Arabidopsis thaliana: one gene and its partners. The main gene of each other region encodes a partner of the protein of the gene in region 2 in a complex. Each region holds a gene or a part of one and is shown on either strand. Other genes may lie near its edges. The genes, in order: NYE1, NOL, ACD2 and HCAR.

Region 1 (4,627 bases), on a different chromosome or scaffold from region 2:
CTTTATTCAATTTTTCTTCATATATCAAAATATAGTTTCTTTTGTATTTATTTACTTACGAACACAACATTTTATAAAATAAGCCCATGATAATAATGCAATAATTCGTTACCATTCTCTTATATTACTTGTTCTTCTTCTCTTTCTGTATTTGGTGTATTTGGTCGTAAATTAGATAGACGAATGGGGTCAGAGAAAAAAAGTCATCTTGATTTGGTTATAAAATGAAAAAGATATTGAAGAAAGAGACCAAATAAATCCAAGAAAATAATTTGGAATCATTAGGAGCAAGAAGTGGCTGATACGCTTTGCAAAACCACCAGAGAGACAAAGTCTTTTGCCATCTCTTTACCTTCACGTTTCTCCTTAGTTTCTCACCGTTACACCGACGAATTCGGTCCTTAATATACGTCTATTGTTACTTTGGTGATGATTCTCATGAATATCTTCATATTTCTAAACTATTCTTATTTGGGATATTAGTATAACTTTAAATTGGTGATGATTCTCATGAATGTTTTGATATATTAAAATATATATGTTCATTAAACAACAATTTATTCATCTTTATGTTTGCATTGCAGTAGTACTATACCAGTCTGTCACCTTTAATATTAGCTAATCTGTAAGAAATTTACATTTTGATCTTGTGGATGAGATACAATACAAGTATACAACTATGATAAAGACTTCAGAGTAGACACAAAATACCATTTGAAACTTTAAAATCTGTATTTAACCTACAAATAATCATTATTTTCCTATACCACATTATGTACACCAAACCAAACCAATATTTAGATCCACCAAAAGGAAAGTCCTGCCATTTCCTTTTCACTTTGTACAAACTACCAAAAGAAAAACTTGTAATTTGATATTTAGTCACTAGAGTTTCTCCGGATTTGGAGTAGCAATTCCCTCAGTCTGAGTCCCAGAGTAACCATTTACACCTTCATTACTAAGACTATGAGACCATGGAATCGAGCTAACGGTTGGAAAACAACAACTACACTCGTCCGCACACCGAGCCTCGGGAAGAGTCTCAGTCTTGTGACCATCAGGCGAAACAGCTTCCCAAAGCGGACCCCAACACTCGACTTTGTTGAACTCATTGACATTAGAATGGAAATAGACCCAAACAAGAGCTTCTTGTAGCTCAGGATAGTTGTTCAACAAGTTCCCATCTCCATGCACAAAAGCCTTCAACACCTGTATATATCAAAACAATAAACATTTTGTTTTACATGAAACCAATAAAAAGTTTCTTATGAATTTGGGAACTTACCACAGGTAGTTCTTTGCAAAAGATGAAATATCGAAACTTTGCAAAGAGATCTAAAAGGAAATGGCCACCGCTTATGTGACAATGAACGTGAAGCGACATTTTCCCTTTCACTTTCTTCCATTCTGCCACAACTTCATCCCGGTATAGCCTATTTGCCCATCCTTGCAACTATAAAAAACATTTCTATACATATCAGCCTCTAAAGTGTTAAGAGATTCTGGTGAATATAGACACATACATAGGTTAAAACAATCATACATAAGCCTCTAATATTTGCTCCAAATAATCAAATACATAAACATTCTACTCCTATAAACAGAGCCATGTAGATATGTTAAGACCAGAGAGAGAGGTGTTTTTACCTGAGAGTTGTTTATGGATTGAGAAATAGCTAAGGTTAGTTTAGCTGTAATGTCACTGTGAGTGAGTGTGTAAGTCCTAGGGAGCGTTGAAGGATGCTTCTTCTCATCAACCCCTAAGAAGAGTACTTTCAATTTGGATGATTCGAAAATCGCCGGTCCAAACAACCTTGCAACCTGCACCGATCCCAAAAGTTTCAAGTTCCATCAATAAAGACAGAGGCATAGATATATCCATAACTGAGACACATAAAACAAAGATATGTCAAAATGATTAAGAGAACAAATCCTTACGGGAACAATCGATTGGTTCTTCTTCTTGGATCTTCTATTGTTGAAGAAGAGTGAGCTGCTGCTGCTACTGTTACTCCGTTTGTCTGAATAAGCTGGTTTCAGCTTCGTTGGTAACAACATAATCGCCGACAAACTACACATCTCTGCTCTCTTGAAACCCAAATCAAAAGCTTCAATATTTCAGAAATAACAACAGAACAAAACGCCACTAAATACAGAGAGACTCCTTTCACGAAGCTTGGATACAATTTTTTCACGCGAGTTCTTGCGTGTTCGTACACTGAAACCACAATCAAAAAGATTGTAACTTTAAGAAATAAATATATAAAAGACCCAAAATTTGAGCTTTTCCTTTGCTTGATGATTGCTTGAAGCTTTGGTTTTGAATTTTCCTTTTGAGATCTTCCAGGAATTTAGGGTTCTTTGTGATGCGTATTGAGTTGGTTCTTGTGTTTAAAAGGGATTGTTGCTTCACGTTTCACACTTCCGTGCCCAAATCTGAACACTCTTTTGGAATTTTTCTGAACACGAGAGAGTGCCACGTGTTCTCTAATCTTTGCATGAGCTTCCCCATGTGTCGTCATGGTGGGGCTAACAACTGGCTCTAACCGTCTTTTTGGATAACTTTAGCCATCTCGTTGCGACAAAGAGACACAGATTCGGCTCTAACCGAACCTAACTCACGTACTGTAGTTGTCAGTCGAACCTAAAGCAATACGGTTTAGTTTCGGTTCAATTTAATGTCATTCGACTCGATTACTCGGTTTAGTTATTAGACCTGTGAAACTCGAGAGGCTTCTTCGCTTGAATCGTCGTGAACAAGGACAACAAACGCAGGTATTGATGGAACCGGAGGAGTCAGAGAGTCCCATGTTGATCCATAAGGATGTTAAAAAGGGCTGAAATTTGTGATCAGGTCCAGGTCCATTAAAAATATCGGGCTAAAATTGGGCTGGCCTGTTACAGAGCTTTTATTTTTTTCTTCTTCTTTTACGTTAAGCGACGTCGTATCTTGTAAACAACAAAACACGAGTACTGTTTTTTCTTCTTCTTTCTCCTTCAATCTCTTCCTCAAATCACTCTTTTTGGGGTTCGTTTTGTTTGTGTTGTAAGCATCCCTGTTGTGCATTTCGTTTATCCAGGTTCGTATTGCTTACCTAAACAAGTTCAAGTTTTCGATTTTGGTTTCTAGGTGTTTACCAGTTTCGCCATTTTGTGGTTTATTGTTTGGATAATTTGATTTCTTTGGATTTTGCTGATACCCATTTGTGTGTATAGAAATTTGATTAATCTGGATACTAAATTTCGTTTGGAGAAACATTGAACCAAAGGAATGCGAAATCTTTTGATGATGATTGAATAGTTTTAGTGCCTGCTAATACTTTAGAACAGAGTCAATTTTTTAAGGTCATGTTATAGAATCTGAGTCTACTTGTCATTTGCTTTGGAACAGGTGAATTCTTGCAAAGCCTTGAGCAGCTTTCAGATGATAAAGACTTTGGTCTCTCCTTATAGTGTATGTACTCTACCTCCACCACTCTTTGAGTCTTATTCTTGTTTAGTTCAATCCACGTGATCCAGTTTTAATTTTATTTAATTCCTCCTATGCGTCTGTTAAAGTCAACTATTTTATTCTTTATGTAGGGATTTGGATCTCAGAAGTTGAAGTTTGACAGATCTTCTGAGAAAGTGAAGACGAGAGCAGTAAGAATGGAGCTCACAATCACTCAACCTGATGATTGGCATCTTCATCTCCGTGACGGTGATCTTCTTCATGCTGTTGTTCCCCACAGGTCTTATAAACATCCTGCAATCTTTCTTTTCTTTCCTTGCTTTACTTTGTTTTGCAGCCACTTTTTTGTTTGCTATTGGTGTTTCTTGTGGAACCATTGTTTGTTATGTATGAATTCCTCAATCACAATCTTGTGCTGGCGTTGATGCTTGTGCTGTACATGATGGTTAATGGTGTATGTAATTATGTGCAGTGCGAGTAATTTTAAGAGAGCGATTGTGATGCCGAATCTGAAGCCTCCTGTCACCTCCACTGCAGCTGCCATTATTTACCGGAAATTTATCATGAAAGCTTTGCCATCTGAGAGTAGCTTTGATCCACTTATGACACTTTATTTGACTGACAAAACTCTACCTGAAGAGATCAGGCTTGCAAGTAAGTACCTGTGCTTTCTCCATCTTGTTGCAAACTAATCAGATACATTTTCATCTTTCTGATTGAGATTCTACTTGCTAATGTTCAGTTTATGCATATATGATCTTGTTATTAGGGGAAAGTGGTGTGGTTTATGCGGTGAAGCTGTACCCTGCCGGAGCAACAACCAACTCTCAAGATGGTGTCACGGATCTCTTTGGAAAATGCTTACCGGTACTAGAAGAGATGGTCAAACAAAACATGCCTTTGCTGGTAAATAAATCATACACCACATAGACTTGTATTTTTGTCTTTGTCTTGTCTGAGGAATGTTTTGATTAGGTTCATGGGGAGGTCACAGATCCGAGTATCGATGTCTTTGACCGCGAGAAAATCTTCATTGAGACAGTTCTGCAGCCTCTAATCCAACGCCTTCCGCAGCTGAAAGTAGTGATGGAACACATCACAACCATGGATGCTGTGAATTTTGTTGAATCTTGCAAAGAAGGTTTTGTTACTATCTTATTTTCATTTCTTGTCTTT
Region 2 (5,466 bases):
TCCTGACAATTGTATCAGGGCTAAGTGTCAGAGATCCTTTCCTTCTACCTCAAGACAAAAAAGACGTAAGTATAAGGACTCATGGACGAACATTTATTTTTATCATGATGTACGGTGATTGGTTGATTAATTGGCAAATAAATGTTTTTAAAACTTACTTTTTGGTCTTTTGAATTTTATTGAAGAGTGGGTTTTTATAGGCGGTTTTAAGCCAATAGATAGATGGATATATAACTTTTTATGAAGTATGTTGTGGTTTAATCTCTCAAACTGAGAGATGATTTCCTTGTTTTATTTTAGTTAGCTTTATCAGCCAAGTTGAGATTCTCAGCCAAAGACTACAGTGACCATATGGCACTCGTTCGTGCCTTTGAAGGGTGGAAAGATGCTGAAAGAGAAGGATCGGCTTATGAGTTTTGTTGGAGGAATTTCCTGTCAGCTCAGACGCTTCAGGCGATACATTCTCTGAGGAAGCAGTTCAACTATATTTTGAAAGAAGCTGGCTTAGTTCATGATGATTTAGCTCTCAACAACAAGCTAAGTCACAACCAGTCTCTGGTTCGTGCTGTCATTTGCTCTGGCCTATTCCCTGGAATAGCATCTGTTGTGGTAAGTCTAAGACCCATGTCTCTGGCTAAGTCTCCTTTCTCGTGTCAGAGATTTCGGTGAAATAACCTTGTTGTCCTTTTTCTTTGCACAGCACAGAGAGACTTCCATGTCATTCAAGACAATGGATGATGGCCAAGTATCACTATACGCGGTGAGCCTCTTCATTCGTATTTCCCAACATCATTACTTGAGTCTCTCGATATGGCCATCTTTTTTATTTAAATGGTTTTTACGGTTTCTATGTTTCAGAATTCTGTTAATTCGCGGTTCCCAACAATTCCATACCCTTGGCTAGTCTTTGGAGAGAAAGTAAAGGTCAATGCGGTACTCATACGGGACTCCACTGGTGTCCCTGATTCCAGTTTGATCCTTTTTGGTGGTTCATTGAGCACGGGAGTACAGGTGATTTCTCTCATTTTCCTCTTTTTAACCCTTACACTAGTCAGATTATGGAATACTCCGGAATCGAATGGATTGAATGTTGTGTTGTTTCCAGGTGGGACATCTAAAAATGCTTGACGGGTACATTGATTTCTTCATGGATCCAAATTTGGCTGAGTCCTATGTAAAGCTGAAGGAAGAACTCGATAAGCTTCTTCAAAAAAAGGCGAGTTTTTTTCAATTTTAAAAGGAAAAAGTGTTCGTAGTGCAGCACTTTAACACCTTTAGTATCTTTACGATTTGCAGCTTGAAGATCCAAGCATGGACATCCACAAAGAAGGCAAGTACCTCATGCTTGCAGTTCAAGAACTTGTGGCTGGAGACCAATGCGAAGGCAGATTTGTCTTTGGCCGTGACACAAAGAGGCCAAGCCAACCGCAAATAGGAGAGAACAAACACTCCAAAGACGGGACAAACCCGAAGAGTCTCCTTCAGACACTTTTGATGAGAGCTGGACACTCACCTCCAAAGTACAAGACAAAACATCTCAAGACAAACGAATTCAGAGCACTTGTGGAGTTTAAAGGAATGCAGTTCGTTGGGAAGCCTCAGAGGAATAAAACGCTCGCTGAGAAAGATGCTGCTGTTGAGGCCTTAGCTTGGTTGACTCATACCTCTGATAATAGTACTGGCCAACACAATGAGGATGCAGATTCTCCACCTGATGTTACTGATAACATGCTTAAACTCCTTGGAGGACGGCGCAGGCGATCCAAGGGCAAGTAATTGAATCTCTGTAGGTTTTTTCGCAGACAGATTTGGTTTGTGTAACTGTGCTTTGGACGATCTCAAATACCAACCAAAGCAGATAGAGAAATTATACTTCAGTAGTCACTATGTAACTATAGTGTCGTTTTTGGGGCAGAACAATAGTGTAGGGTTATAAACATAAAATCTAGAAACTTTAGGGGCTATGATGTATTTTGAACAATAATTGGGGTTATTATCATCTTATATGCCGCCACGTGGCATTTAACTCTCTCTGAGCTTGCTCGCTTACGCAACTCTCTCTCTCTCTCTCTTTGAGCTTCTGTAATGGCTACTTGGAGTGGTTTCAACGTCTCTTCTTCTCCGTTGCTTAGGCTTCGGTCTTCCTCCGTCTCAAATGTCACTAAGCTTCCGTTTCTCTCTCCTATTTGCCGGCGTCGGTTACTGGCAGAACGCTTTGGTCTCGCAACTGTCGTTGTTACGCGCCAAAACCTCACGGTTACTCCGTCGTCTGCGGCGGTGGAAGCTCGTATCTCAGGGAAAAGAGAACCTATGACGCCTCCGTATAACATATTGATCACTGGCTCAACCAAAGGTTTCATTCACTCTGTCTTTGTCAATTGACTCGAGTTTTTAATCTTCAGAAGGGAAAAAACATATTTTTTTATCTCATTGTGTCTCTAAAGAGTGGTTTTTGATTTATTGATTGTTCAGGTATAGGATATGCATTAGCTAGAGAGTTTCTGAAAGCAGGCGACAATGTTGTGATTTGCTCTAGATCAGGTTAGAACCTGTCCCCATTGTTGTCTTGAACTCCTTTTCTAGAGTTTGTGTGTCTGTAAGGAAACATGCAAGCAAGTAATAGAACCAATCTTCAGTAGAATTTTGCTGTTATGGCTGTTCCTGTCTTGCAGCTGAACGAGTTGAGACTGCTGTTCAGAGTCTTAAGGAAGAATTTGGGGAGCATGTGTGGGTACCGCCTTCTTTTACTGTTCTTTTCCATTCGTGTGGTCTTCCAAGGTTTTTGCTTTATGTGCATTGATATCATGAAACCATTTTCTCTTAGTAGGGAACTAAGTGTGATGTTACGGAAGGGAAGGATGTGAGGGAACTTGTAGCTTATAGTCAGAAGAATCTTAAATACATTGACATTTGGGTACACTCTCAAAACTATGAAGAACGTTCATTTGTTGGTGACATCTGTGTTAATGTTGTTCAGAGTATTTTACTATGTTTTCTTTTCAATTTTGTAACCATAGAAATAGTCTTATAATACCATCTTGAGATGATACAGATAAATAATGCGGGATCTAATGCATATAGCTTTAAACCTTTGGCAGAGGCCTCAGATGAGGATCTTATGTAAGTCTTGTGTTAAGCTTGATCCTTCTCTTCGTTAGTTTCTATGTGATTGGTTTCAGTCATTTACTTTTTGAAATCTTTATGCAGTGAAGTTGTGAAAACCAACACTCTAGGTCTCATGTTATGTTGCCGAGAGGTAGTCAAAGATGTTATAAGGAGATGAATTCAGCGTGTCTTTTGTTATTATCAGTTGGATTTACTGACATGTGTTCATGATTATTAGGCAATGAATATGATGTTGACCCAATCTCGAGGTGGTCATATCTTCAATATTGATGGAGCTGGTTCAGATGGGAGACCAACACCCAGGTTTGCTAGATTCATTAAAGTTTCTTGGGAACATGCTTTAGTAAATCTCCTTTAGGCTCTCTTCTCTGTACTGTCTAATAGCATTTTTTTGATTAACGTTTGACAGATTTGCTGCATATGGTGCAACTAAACGGAGTGTCGTTCACCTGACAAAGTCATTACAGGTAATGCCAGAGTTATATCTGTTGAACTCTTCTTCGTTTTCCCTTCTCCTTATATGACTTCTCTAGTAATTCCTGTCTTTCATAGGCAGAGTTGCAGATGCAAGATGTCAAAAATGTCGTGGTGCATAATCTATCGGTATGAATACAATATATTGCTTCATTTCATTTTTGGTTGTTTTTAGTGTCTTCCTAAATACACTGATACAGACATGCGCATAGAGATGAATAGAATGGATGGATTATAGTTATTTGAACAATTTGAATGAATTCAGGATCTAAACATGATCATAATTCTAATGTGTTTTCTCTGGATTATTGTTGCAGCCTGGAATGGTCACAACTGATCTGCTCATGTCCGGAGCAACTACAAAACAAGTTCGATGACTTAACACTGAGGAAATATTTAGATTCCATTTCAAGAGATTCTCTCTAATACGTTCTCTATTGCAGGCCAAGTTCTTCATTAATGTTTTGGCAGAGCCAGCCGAAGTGGTAAGAACCCATTAACTCTTAATTCTTTTTAGCACAACAATTTGACACGATCTCTAATCTCTAGCCCCATGATTCATGATCACACATTCGTTTGCAGGTGGCTGAGTACCTTGTCCCAAACATAAGGGCAATACCGGCTAGCGGATCTATGAAGCCGACTTACATCCGTTTCCTAACTGGAATCAAAGCCTACACCAAAATATTCTCAGTTAAGACGATTAATAGCTCTGCGTAGAAGTAAATCAAAGCATGTAAACTATTTCTGCAAATTACTTAACCAATTTGTTTTTTTCTTTGTCAAATTTTGGGAATTTGTTTCAGAGAGTTGCGTTGGGAGCAAGGAAGAACAGGTATGTTACTGAAGAGTAGGTGTCAAACTAAGTATTAGAATTGTATTGCTTTCTCAGTTTGTTCAATGGTAAATAAAAACCTCTACATTTTGTTCATGACAACTCCAAAACATGCAATCTATTGTACAATTTGGATTTAAGCTCATTTGCAAAAATGTGAGATTTCTCAGTTAATGATTGAAGTGATGATTTAAAAGTCAGTTTTTTTTTTCCAACCATAATAATTTATAGGCACTATTTTGAGAATCAGACCAGATTTGTCGAGACTGGGATCCAAATGCCTGTGGTCTAGTTTACAATTTAACAAGCAGCAAAAATGTCATTCCAAACCAATCAAACCGGGTAAAACCGAAGAACCGCCTCAACCGGACTTGATATCAAAGCGATTAAAATCAAATTACGGTTCAATTTAGTAAAATCGACTAAACCGGTTAGTTCGCAACTTTCTCTTTGCTTCTTCGTCTCTCTCTCTCTGTCGTGTTTGAGAAGACGAAAAGAGTCGGAGAGAAAGATCGGACGATGAGTGCCGAAGATTTCCAGAAGAAGGTTTCCCTCAGAGATTCCCTCTCCGGCGATATTGAGAACGAATGCGGCGGTTCCGGTGTCGGGTCTACTAGTTCGACGGTGGGCTCCGGCGTCGCCTCTCAAACCCTGGTCCTGCTTCGGAGTCTGTTGGAGATTCAGCAGCGCCGAGCTCAGGCTTACGCCAATCTCAAAAGGTTCGATTGATTCATTGGAAATCTCTCAAAGAGTTAGTTTATTTGTTGCGGTTTTGTTAAGTTCCAATTGATCCATTGCCTGAGAGTTAGACTTTGTTGGTGAATGTTGAAATTGAGGCAAATAGTGTGAAGGATAGAGAGGGAGATGTTTTTTATATTCGTAGATTTCCATGTTTTTGTTACTGAGATCTTCCTCTATTAATCTGAGCTGACTATGTTTTCGAATTCAATTATCAGTGGATTCTCAGAGTATGTGGAGTCTGGTGCTGAAGCACTTTATCAGAAGCTGTGCAGCGAGATTACAACGGAGTT
Region 3 (4,223 bases), on a different chromosome or scaffold from region 2:
GACGACGTCGTTTCATGGAACGAAGAAGGAACAGCTTTTGTCGTGTGGAAAACAGCAGAGTTTGCTAAAGATCTTCTTCCTCAATACTTCAAGCATAATAATTTCTCAAGCTTCATTCGTCAGCTCAACACTTACGTGAGTTTCACTCTAACGAAAACTCATTTACTCTCAATTTAATGCTTCATTTAATTCGTTTGGTGAATTGAATCATTCTTTTGTAGTTGGTTAGCCAATTTCGTAATTTTCTCATAATTTGGGGGTTGGTGAGAAAACCTTCTAGAAGCTGAGAATGTTCTTGTTCTTTTTTTTTTTTTTTTTTTGGTTTAGGGATTTCGTAAAACTGTACCGGATAAATGGGAATTTGCAAACGATTATTTCCGGAGAGGCGGGGAGGATCTGTTGACGGACATACGACGGCGTAAATCGGTGATTGCTTCAACGGCGGGGAAATGTGTTGTTGTTGGTTCGCCTTCTGAGTCTAATTCTGGTGGTGGTGATGATCACGGTTCAAGCTCCACGTCATCACCCGGTTCGTCGAAGAATCCTGGTTCGGTGGAGAACATGGTTGCTGATTTATCAGGAGAGAACGAGAAGCTTAAACGTGAAAACAATAACTTGAGCTCGGAGCTCGCGGCGGCGAAGAAGCAGCGCGATGAGCTAGTGACGTTCTTGACGGGTCATCTGAAAGTAAGACCGGAACAAATCGATAAAATGATCAAAGGAGGGAAATTTAAACCGGTGGAGTCTGACGAAGAGAGTGAGTGCGAAGGTTGCGACGGCGGCGGAGGAGCAGAGGAGGGGGTAGGTGAAGGATTGAAATTGTTTGGGGTGTGGTTGAAAGGAGAGAGAAAAAAGAGGGACCGGGATGAAAAGAATTATGTGGTGAGTGGGTCCCGTATGACGGAAATAAAGAACGTGGACTTTCACGCGCCGTTGTGGAAAAGCAGCAAAGTCTGCAACTAAAAAAAGAGTAGAAGACTGTTCAAACCAGCGTGTGACACGTCATCGACGACGACGAAAAAAATGATTTAAAAAACTATTTTTTTCCGTAAGGAAGAAAAGTTATTTTTATGTTTTAAAAAGGTGAAGAAGGTCCAGAAGGATCAACGCAAATATATAAATGGATTTTCATGTATTATATAATTTAATTAGTGTATTAAGAAAATAAAACAGATGTTGAAGTTTTATTGTTGCTTAATTTATGTCTTCATAATGTAAAAAAGCATGTGAAATACTTGGTCTAAGGTCATCTACTTAGTTGAAAACTTGTGAAAGAGGAAGAAATTTTACTTTTATGTTTGATTGATTTTCTTTGCAAGTAGTAGTAGGTGGTTTCCGTGTTTTTACGTAATCCGTTGAATATTTTTCCCTCGAAATTGTCTTTATAAAAGTCACAGAAACATTTTCTAGAACTCTTTATCAGGAAAATAAAAATAAAGATGTCTTCAAGGAATCGAAAAAATACAGCAATATACTAAATAGAAAATGCTATGAAATTAAATAAAAATTTAGTAAGGTTCCAAAGACACTACTTAACTAGAGAGAAAAATAATTCCAACTAGCTCTACAACAAACAAATCATTTACTTGTTTAAGAATCGAAAAATTTAGAAATTTATTCTTATTATTTGTTTGCCCAATTAAGTCGCTCTTGGCCCAATACTTGCATCACTTGATTGAGTAGAAGAAGATCACTTACCAACTCTCAAACCATTTAAAAATTAAAAAGCATAGTTTATTTTATTTAAATATGTGTATGTAATAATTCACCACAAGAAATATATTACAAACCACAAAACTATAATCCCGGTAAAATAGTAATTAATTTCTTCAAAAGTGTAAATAAAAAAGAAGAGACATAATTTAGTCATAGCCACATAAAAAATGGCGATGATATTTTGCAACACTCTCTACTCTTCTTCTTCTCCATCATATCTCTCGCCGTTAACTTCAAAACCGTCGCGATTCTCAAAGAATCTCAGACCTCGAGCTCAATTCCAGTCCATGGAAGACCACGACGATCACCTCCGCCGAAAATTTATGGAGTTCCCGTATGTGTCACCCACGCGGAAGCAGCTCATGGTTGATCTCATGTCGACGGTGGAGAATCGCCTCCAATCACAACTCCTTCCCTGTAACCTCCCTCCAGATGTACGAAACTTCAATAACCCTAACGGTTCCGCCGAAGCATCTCTTCATATCAGATCCGGCGACAAATCTTCTCCGGTACTTGCGACGATTAACTCTGTTTTTCAGTTATGAGATCGAAATTGACTGTTTTGCATGCTTGTTTTAGAGCTCAATTGCTTGATTTTAAGTAGAAACAGACTTCAATTTCGATGTAAATCATAACCCTAAAAAAAAACTTTTTAGAGAATCTTAAAGTTTGTTTTGTTTTGCAGATTGATTTTGTTATAGGAAGTTGGATACATTGCAAGATCCCAACAGGAGTATCTTTGAATATAACAAGCATCTCTGGATTCTTAAACTCATCAACAAAAGCTCCAAACTTTGTGGTCGAACTAATACAGAGCAGTTCCAAGTCGCTTGTGCTAATCCTTGACCTCCCACATCGTAAAGATCTTGTTCTTAACCCGGATTATCTCAAGGAGTATTACCAAGACACTGCTCTTGATTCTCATCGACAATCTCTCCTTAAGCTACCTGAAGTTAACCCTTATGTGTCTCCTTCTCTCTTTGTCCGTTCTGCTTTCTCTCCTACTGCTTCGATGCTTAAGATTGATGCGGAGGAAGAGGATAAGTTGGAGGAGATATTGAGAGATCATGTTAGTCCAGCTGCTAAGGAGGTTCTCGAGGTTTGGTTGGAGCGGTGTGTGAAGGAAGAAGAAGAGAAGATTGTGGTTGGGGAAGAAGAGAGAATGGAGTTGGAGAGAAGAGATAAAAGCTTTAGAAGGAAGAGCATAGAGGACGATTTGGATTTGCAGTTTCCGAGAATGTTTGGTGAAGAAGTTTCCTCCCGTGTTGTACACGCTATTAAAGAAGCTTTCGGTGTTCTCTAGATTATGTAACTATATATATACATCAGTTAATGTTCATTGTACTAAACATTTACTTTCATCAATGTCACAAGAACGCAAGATGACCATCAAACAAGTCCTGTTTTCTCCTAAGAACGTCTTTGTTGTGAATCATCTCTGAATCGGATTCCTTCTGATTCATTTTAATACTATGGGATTGTAAATTTATCAATCAAGTTTCTAATTTATCTGTAAAAAAAAGTCTTGAATTATTGTTTTTCTCATGGATTTTAAAGTTTTTTTTTCACTATTTTACATGGATGTTTTGTTAAATTTCTCGTTCTCTAGATCATGTCATTTTACATTAGCAAAACCAATATAATATATAGATTAATATTAACGAAGGAACATAAACGTGCAAAACTAAAAGTTTTAAAGCTAAATCGCTTTCAAAAGAGTTAGTAACCAGACAAAAAAGAGACAGATCATCGGCAACTAATCTCGTCATCGCATGCATCATAAACCAAATTAACTAAATCATCCATTTAATCCATTTGTTCTTATCAGATCATCCTTTTCCTTCCTACACAAGAAATGGTTAGTGTTTTCTTTTCTCGATTGTCTCTTAGTTTAGATTCTTTATCCGACTACTTTGTTCATCGGTTTTGTTTTTCTTTTTGTCTTCCGGAAGGCGAATTACATGTCGGAAGCAGCACAGCTCAGAAGAGGTCTAAAGCCTAAAGGGAAGACTTATGGGTTGACCAATCAGAAGAGACGAGAGATCAGAGAGATCTTTGATCTTTTCGACATAGACGGTTCAGGTAAACTATTAAACCGATTCTTTATCCGATTTACAAAGTTATTGCTCACATGATTTAGTGCATCATTTCATATGTAGGTAGCATCGATGCTAGCGAGCTCAACGTTGCTATGAGGTCAACGGCAATTTTTCTTTCTTTTTCAAAGTTATTTTCTTCAAGTTCTAGTTAAGTATAGTACTAAAAAATTATCAGCTGATTACAGGTCTCTTGGATTTGAGATGAATAATCAGGTTTGTTTGTTTTCCTTCCTTTTTTCTTCTTTGTTTTAATTTCATGGTTTAGATCATTGTACGTAGAACCAACTTGTATTTAGTTTGGTCATGTTCATTGTTGCAGCAAATAAACGAATTGATGGCAGAAGTAGATAAAAACCAAAGTGGAGCCATAGATTTCGACGAATTTGTGCATATGATGACAACCAAATT
Region 4 (6,837 bases), on a different chromosome or scaffold from region 2:
AAATTTTGCAGTTTTTAATTGGATAAGAGATATAAGCGCTTGGAGATCAAAATTTGAAGAATGCAAGTTTACTTGGACAAGGCGATTTTCAAACATGGCTGCAGATGCTCTGGCAAAACAACAACTTCCTTTGAACACTCAGTTTTATTGCTATAACTATATCCCGTTTGTAATAACTGATTTTTTACATCGCGACTTTGCTACAGCAAATTATTAATAAAGCTGATGTTTGAGGAAAAAAAAAAAAACTACAAGATCAAACCCTAGTTCCTCCGATGAAATTGCGGTTAGAAAACTAAATATTGATTGACCTAATTCAAAGAGACCTTTTTTGTGCAGAAACTAAATATTAAAAATCCAAGGTTCCAAGAGATCAAATAGGAATTTAAGCGAGAAGCAACATACCTGAGTCTCGTGACAACGGCGCGTGGTTTGCGTCAATACTTGGGACTCTCGGTGAGATCCGCCATGATTTGCTAGAGAGATCGTGAAACGCAAGAAAACAGAGAGACAAACGGTGGCGAGATCATTGATGGTGTGATCACCGAGTTACAGTTCCGACGGTTCTGACGGTGGTGAAAATGGATGGTGATCATCGAGCTTTGACGTTCTCGTGATCGGTGAGTTCTTTTTGTAAGAGAGGAACAGAAACAAACAGAGGCTAAAAAGACAAAAGAAGAAGAAGAAGGTGGATTTTTTGTTTTCTTCTCGTAATCCATGCTTTGGACCTTGTATCAGCCACTTATGATCATTTGCTATATTGATGCTTTCCAATTTTAGAGTATTGAAATGGGTTTCTTTGACAATCATTTTGAGTTAGTCATCATTCCTTGTTCTGAATCAAGAATTGGCTTTTGTTATGTTGTCTAGGTTCTGCTTGTAACTAGAGTAATGCTATTGTAGTCTCTGTTGTTTATTTGTAGAATCATAGAGAGTCGTGGAAGCATGTTTTAGTTGTTACTCTCGATTTCTTGTCGATGTTGTGGTGTTATAAATTGAGCGTTTTAACCAATACAAGTTAGGAGATGGTTAGTATGTGACTATGTGTTAGTGGCCATGTATGTAGTTCGATCAGATAATCTGAATGATGTGCTAAAGAGCTTGCATAGGAAGACTGCCTTTGTGTTAGCTTGCATAGAGACTTGTTGCAATATATGAGACTGAAAACTATTATGTGAAAACTTTAATTTGTGTACAAATATTTTTAACTCTTAAAATTAAACTAACATTGTACCAATTAGCACATGAAAGAAACACAGAATTCTGTGAACATATGATGAATAACTATATAAACACATTATGGATTCAGTTAAGGAGACAGAAACAAGAAGATGAATTTCAGATATATAGCAATAGAGTCACTTATAATCATATCAGAGCTTATACTTTATACAAATTATCACTTTAGTCCTTAAATTAAAACCGATTTAATCGACAATCTTGTTATTCTTTAAAACAATTTGTTCTTATTTTCAATCTTTAAATTTTGCAACAATCGACAGAACTTATCGTTATTCCGTGTTTTTATTTTCATATCTTTCTTAAAATGTTTCAAAATAATATATGTTTAATATTTTCTGATTTACAATAGTTATTAAGTTATATGAAATATAATTATTTTAAATTTTATTTTATTTTTCAGAAAACTCTTATAAGAGAGCTTACCATTAGAATATGAAAAAAAATTAAAACTCTCTTATAACTTTTTAAAAATTTTAATAATAAAAAAATGGAGAAAGCCCGTGAAAGAGCTCTTACGAACCAAAACCATTCAGTCCGGTTAAGAATTGGTTATCAAGTTTGGTTCCTAAAAGATATCCAAGTTCAAAAGCAAAAAAATATCTTCTTTTCTCTCTCTCTACTCTCTTCTCTTCTTCTCTTCTTCTCTTCTTCTCTGGCTGGGCAACCATGATTACTGTCGTCACCTCCAGGCTCTCTCTCCTTCCTCCAGTCTTCTCCGTCGTTAACTCTTCTTCTTCGCGTTCCAAAGGTGCTCAATTTATTTCTGCCACGTCTTCTCTTTATAGCACTCTGTTTTACACACGTCGTTGATTCTTCAGTTTTTTAAAAGACCCGTCTTATACAAAATTTCAGTGTAACCGATCCCTGAAATTCGTTAAAGGGATGAAATTTTATCTAAGATTCGGAGTTTTCTTTTCGAACATAGTGGTAATGTTTGTCGAATGCTTGATTTGGTCTTCCACAGCTGTCACTATCGAGTTTGAAGATAGAAATCTTGTGTTAACTTAGTATGTATTACTGCATAATGTCAATTCTGTTTGAAAGCATCAGAATTTCGGAACAGATTTTTGTTTCGTATAGCATCGATCTTTGTCTTGTGTGTTTTTATCTTCTCTCTGAAGCCTGCATGAACCCTTCTCTTATGGCTTTAATTGCAGATATGAATCTAGAGCCAAAAAAGAAGGTTAAATTAAGAGAAGACTGGAGAGAAAAGTCCAGACCTATCCCACCCGGAGGAACCTATCCAGCTAAAGACCATTGCAGGTTTTTTCTTTCTTTTTTGTTTGTTTGTTTGTTTACCTCACTATTTTTGTCTCATTCTTATCAAGATCCTTGGTGTTCTGATGGGTTTGCAGTCAGTGCGGGCTATGCGACACCTACTACATTGCCCATGTGAAGGAGGCATGTGCATTTCTTGGAGATGGAATGTCAAGGATTGAGGTAATGTCCATATAAATGGATAAGATTTGATACTCTTTTTAATTGATGGGCTAAGATTCTTATTTTGTTAATATTTTAAGTTCTTGTGCAGAGCTTGGAACCTGTTGTGCATGGTAGAGGAAGGAAAGCAGATTCCTTACAAGATACATATTTTGGGGTGCATCAAGAGCAGCTCTATGCTCGTAAGTTGAAGCCTGTCGAAGGTAAATAGACACTTCCCTTCCACTGTTCCACATTTTCTACTAACTTCTTTTCCTGGCTCAATCTAAGCTAGGGCACTTTTGTGTCTCGTTCAAGATGAATTTAGCTTAGCTTTGTTGTTTACTTTTCATTCTATTTTCGGTTGCAGGAGCTCAGTGGACTGGAATTGTCACAACCATAGCCATTGAGATGCTGAAATCTAATATGGTTGAAGCTGTCGTTTGTGTGCAGAGGTAAAACTACTGTTGAATTTCAGAAATGGACTAGGCTTACATTTATCGACCATGCTGTAGATTTTTCCATCTATCCATGTAACTGATTTATTGAAATATTACAGTGATCCTGAAGACAGATTATCTCCAAGACCAGTATTAGCCAGGTTTTCCACCTTCCTAATGTGGTTTATTTTGAGTCCATTCTTCTTCAAGTCGCCATTTTTTAGATGTGGATCCATATTTTGCTGTTACTCTGGATATAGAAGCGTATTGATGTTTCATTTCTTTTCATTCTAAGGACACCTGAAGAAGTTTTGGCTGCAAGAGGTGTCAAGCCAACTCTGTCTCCTAATCTGAATACTCTTGAATTAATCGAGGTTATTTGCCAAACCCTTATTTCTTGTTTGTGTTTTCAATCACTGAATCCATTTCACATGAACTTAGAATTTGTATTGTAACAGGCTTCCGGAGTGAAGCGTCTTCTGTTTTGCGGTGTGGGTTGCCAAGTGCAAGGTATGGGCTCAACATACTTTTTTGTGGACGTATATTTCAAGTTTCTCCATATCGTGACTCTCATAGTATTGTAATGCAGAGTGATTTCTTATACTGCAGCATTGAGATCAGTGGAGCAGCATCTGAATCTGGAAAAGTTGTATGTACTAGGCACCAATTGTGGTATTTTCCTCATCCTATCTAGATTTGTTTTTTCTCCAGAACTTTCACAACTAGTTCTTGTGTTGTACTTTTGAACATTCCATGTTGTATATGTTATTTCGGAGTCTTGTATGCTTAGGTCTAGAAATGCTTATACATTTTTAAACAAGTAAAAAGAACATCTTTGATTAATAGTGGACAACGGAACACGAGATGGACTAGACAAGTTTCTGAAAGCAGCTAGTAAAGAGCCAGAGACTGTTCTCCATTATGAATTTATGCAAGATTACAAGGTTAGCATTAATACAAAACCATCACTTATCTGTGCATTTTCTTTGGTGATGCCAATCTTGTTCAATTTCTCTTATAGGTCCAACTCAAACACTTGGATGGACACATTGAAGAGGTAAATTCGCTTAAAATACTGTGTTGCTCTGCAATTGCAGCTGAAAGCCGTTTTTAAAAAACTTTTTTTGGCTAAAGCAGGTTCCCTATTTCTCTCTACCTGCAAACGATTTAGTAGATGTCATAGCTCCATCGTGTTACAGGTAATACAAGTCTCTGCATTGTCTCTATACCTTGAAATAGATAACCTGTCGGAAATTTTTAAAACTTGTCTACAATTACAAACCCTATCTTTTTTATTCTGCAGCTGCTTTGATTACACAAATGCATTAGCGGTGAGTGTTTCTCTAGCAATTAAGATGTCTTTTCACTTAATTTTGATTCTGCCAATTTCAAACATTTCCTGATATGTATGAGCTTGTTTATCTAGGATTTGGTTATCGGTTACATGGGTGTTCCGAAGTATTCAGGTCTGAACATGACTGACCATCCACAGTATATTACAGTGAGGTCAATATTTCTACGTATTTTGACATGGACCATATAGGTTCTCGTGGTTGGATAAAATTAGTTTTGTTTATGCCTTAAACCACAGAAATGAACGTGGGAAAGAAATGCTCAGCTTGGTAGAAAACCTTTTGGAGATCACTCCAACAATCAGCAGCGTAAAGTTTCTAACATTTATATTTGTTGTTATATTTAAGACTTTAAGAGTCCACTTAACAAATAACATGAACAAACACACCTTTTGTTGTTGTTTCAGGGTGATCGGCGACCTTTTGTGACAGAAACTGTTAAGGCAGACGATGCTGCTAAGTTTGGTATGTTTTCAAACGTATTCGAAACTCTTTTGTTTCTTGAATCGTCTCTGCTTAAAGACATTCAGTTTCAAGCAAAGCTAGATGCCAAAAAGAAAGTTCTCAGCAAATGCATGCAACTAACATTGTGCTAAAGTCTTCTAACTAGTCTATAATTTCTTAGGTCAAGGTCCTGCTCAGCCAGCGCCACTATTTGTTGGAAACATTATTGCGTTCATCCTAAATTTGGTAAGATTATTTCCTTATGAACACAAACCGAGAAACAAGCTCATTGCATAAAAAGTCAAAGAGTTTCTTAACTTGCAAAACCATTCTTGCTTCAGGTTGGTCCTAAGGGTCTAGAATTTGCTCGGTACTCGTTGGACTACCATACCATCAGAAACTATTTGTACGTAAACCGCAAATGGGGAAAGCAAAGGTAAGATCTGAAACACACTCCTAGAGATAAAAGTTTATTGCGATCAACTGTGTATTTCTATACTATTGGATCGTTCTCTAATGACCAAAGCTGCATTACCATCTACAGAGCAAACACCCACATGCCATCATATGCCAAAAAGATAGTGGAAATGTACAACAAAAACGGCCAAATAGATAAAATGCTCTCCAAGAAATGAACATTTTAGGCCTTTCTCATGTAAGTTTCCAAATGTATATTTCATCCTACAAGTGAGTAAATGTACATTGGTCCTACTGTTTCTCAACTTGTAGTATGTTAGTAATATCCAAAACTATTTCCCTCGTGAATTTGGTAAGACACCGGCAAGAAAAGATGGGTCGGTTTGGTGTTTTTTGGCAGAGAACAGAGAATAAGAAACAGTCTAAATCAGCGGCTGAATCCAAATCAACCCATGTGGGTTCCTTCCTCCATATCTTTAGGTTAAGGTGATGTCCGAGTAAAAGGTTGCAGGGTTTTGCATGAGAACATGAATAACTGTTTTAAGAGGATGGGAACCAGACATTTACACAGTTGGGGGGAATTAGCTTTTAATGTCTTTTTTTTGCTTGGACAAAGAAGAAGGAACCATGGTTAAGCTTCACTCGCTCGCTCACTCACTCACTCACTCACTAACTTACTCATCACCATATTTCACACATTGGAAACTTCAAATTTTACTCTCTCTCTTTTTTTCTTTTTTTGTCTTTTTGTTAGTCAAGTCTCTGCTCTGCTCGTTCAATGACTTTGCTGCAGAGACTCTCAGACCTCAAGTGAAACTCATAAATGTCTCTGCTCTTTTGCACCATAGTTGATTTTTTCTCACCAGAGGCATTGTCCTAATACAGAGCATGTAAACGTTTTTTCTAATAATATATTTAAGTGAAATAAAGCTTACTTTGGTACCTTGAATTAATTTTGAGTTGCAATTTGACATATAACAATGTTAGAGAATTCATTTACGTATTGCATATTTTGGATCTGTATCTGTATCTGTTTCAGTATATATATATTTATAACTAGATCCAACATCATATATAATATATGATTTCACTCAAGTTTTTCTGAGAAAGTTGTATAATGTTATATTTATTATCCATCTGTGTTTCAAATTAGATACATTGTTCATCCCTAATGGATTTTGCATATCCTACAGAAATGCATGTTTCAGTATTTTCAACTTGTGTTCCCTGGAGGTTGTAATCCATGAAACAACTTTAATATGGACTGTCCAAGACAATCATGTGTAAATCAATCATTTGCCAAATATAATGATTACAAAATGGCTAATAATTCCTTAATCAGTTAAATAACAGCTCTAACTTGTGAGAGTATTCTTCCAATAATGAAACAGCATGAAATTAGTTGTTTCTTTTCCTGATCAACAACATCATCATAGAGATAACACAACATGCATCGTTGAGAAAAGAATTACAAAACCGTAAAATATATTTGTCATATTAGATTAAGCAAAACTTCTTACAAG

Evidence for each region.
Region 1: NOL (region 2) and NYE1 share a complex: the UniProt entries of both Arabidopsis thaliana proteins name them as parts of the SGR1-CCE-LHCII complex.
Region 3: NOL (region 2) and ACD2 share a complex: the UniProt entries of both Arabidopsis thaliana proteins name them as parts of the SGR1-CCE-LHCII complex.
Region 4: NOL (region 2) and HCAR share a complex: the UniProt entries of both Arabidopsis thaliana proteins name them as parts of the SGR1-CCE-LHCII complex.

What each region holds. Positions count from the first base shown.
Region 1 is NC_003075.7:12,015,891-12,020,517, forward strand, and holds NYE1 (non-yellowing 1), read right to left. Parts: upstream 2,754-4,627; 5' UTR 2,717-2,753; intron 2,645-2,716; 5' UTR 2,080-2,644; coding exon 1,939-2,079; intron 1,822-1,938; coding exon 1,648-1,821; intron 1,454-1,647; coding exon 1,286-1,453; intron 1,210-1,285; coding exon 886-1,209; 3' UTR 573-885; downstream 1-572. Other genes in the region: PYR4 (pyrimidin 4), read left to right, coding at 3,425-3,454, 3,583-3,731, 3,924-4,105, 4,221-4,357, 4,427-4,592. UniProt on the Arabidopsis thaliana protein: Magnesium chelatase involved in chlorophyll a degradation in the chlorophyll-protein complexes of photosystem I (PSI) and photosystem II (PSII). Contributes to the degradation of PSI and PSII in the thylakoid membranes.
Region 2 is NC_003076.8:1,432,741-1,438,206, forward strand, and holds NOL (NYC1-like protein), read left to right. Parts: upstream 1-2,033; 5' UTR 2,034-2,085; coding exon 2,086-2,353; intron 2,354-2,472; coding exon 2,473-2,541; intron 2,542-2,672; coding exon 2,673-2,731; intron 2,732-2,827; coding exon 2,828-2,914; intron 2,915-3,052; coding exon 3,053-3,120; intron 3,121-3,207; coding exon 3,208-3,256; intron 3,257-3,343; coding exon 3,344-3,429; intron 3,430-3,535; coding exon 3,536-3,593; intron 3,594-3,678; coding exon 3,679-3,729; intron 3,730-3,917; coding exon 3,918-3,968; intron 3,969-4,043; coding exon 4,044-4,085; intron 4,086-4,182; coding exon 4,183-4,293; intron 4,294-4,406; coding exon 4,407-4,454; 3' UTR 4,455-4,755; downstream 4,756-5,466. Other genes in the region: ABO6 (DEA(D/H)-box RNA helicase family protein), read left to right, coding at 1-65, 301-609, 701-760, 859-1,011, 1,106-1,216, 1,297-1,776; AT5G04910 (DNA repair REX1-B protein), read left to right, coding at 4,955-5,154, 5,392-5,466. UniProt on the Arabidopsis thaliana protein: Required for chlorophyll b degradation. Chlorophyll b, chlorophyllide b, pheophorbide b and pheophytin b can be used as substrates. Belongs to the chlorophyll catabolic enzymes (CCEs).
Region 3 is NC_003075.7:17,440,744-17,444,966, forward strand, and holds ACD2 (accelerated cell death 2 (ACD2)), read left to right. Parts: upstream 1-1,868; 5' UTR 1,869-1,883; coding exon 1,884-2,225; intron 2,226-2,401; coding exon 2,402-3,019; 3' UTR 3,020-3,552; downstream 3,553-4,223. Other genes in the region: HSF4 (heat shock factor 4), read left to right, coding at 1-135, 328-963; CEN2 (centrin 2), read left to right, coding at 3,572-3,574, 3,669-3,798, 3,876-3,912, 4,001-4,028, 4,135-4,223. UniProt on the Arabidopsis thaliana protein: Catalyzes the key reaction of chlorophyll catabolism, porphyrin macrocycle cleavage of pheophorbide a (pheide a) to a primary fluorescent catabolite (pFCC).
Region 4 is NC_003070.9:1,281,564-1,288,400, reverse strand, and holds HCAR (coenzyme F420 hydrogenase family / dehydrogenase, beta subunit family), read left to right. Parts: upstream 1-1,781; 5' UTR 1,782-1,908; coding exon 1,909-1,990; intron 1,991-2,399; coding exon 2,400-2,505; intron 2,506-2,597; coding exon 2,598-2,682; intron 2,683-2,773; coding exon 2,774-2,885; intron 2,886-3,031; coding exon 3,032-3,116; intron 3,117-3,220; coding exon 3,221-3,262; intron 3,263-3,396; coding exon 3,397-3,475; intron 3,476-3,559; coding exon 3,560-3,611; intron 3,612-3,710; coding exon 3,711-3,773; intron 3,774-3,947; coding exon 3,948-4,045; intron 4,046-4,122; coding exon 4,123-4,158; intron 4,159-4,238; coding exon 4,239-4,300; intron 4,301-4,404; coding exon 4,405-4,432; intron 4,433-4,527; coding exon 4,528-4,607; intron 4,608-4,692; coding exon 4,693-4,762; intron 4,763-4,860; coding exon 4,861-4,918; intron 4,919-5,078; coding exon 5,079-5,143; intron 5,144-5,238; coding exon 5,239-5,333; intron 5,334-5,441; coding exon 5,442-5,532; 3' UTR 5,533-6,238; and 1 more. Other genes in the region: AT1G04625 (Polynucleotidyl transferase, ribonuclease H-like superfamily protein), read left to right, coding at 1-169, 481-570. UniProt on the Arabidopsis thaliana protein: Probable iron-sulfur flavoprotein that converts 7-hydroxymethyl chlorophyll a to chlorophyll a using ferredoxin as a reducing equivalent. Catalyzes the reduction of a hydroxymethyl group to a methyl group. Belongs to the chlorophyll catabolic enzymes (CCEs).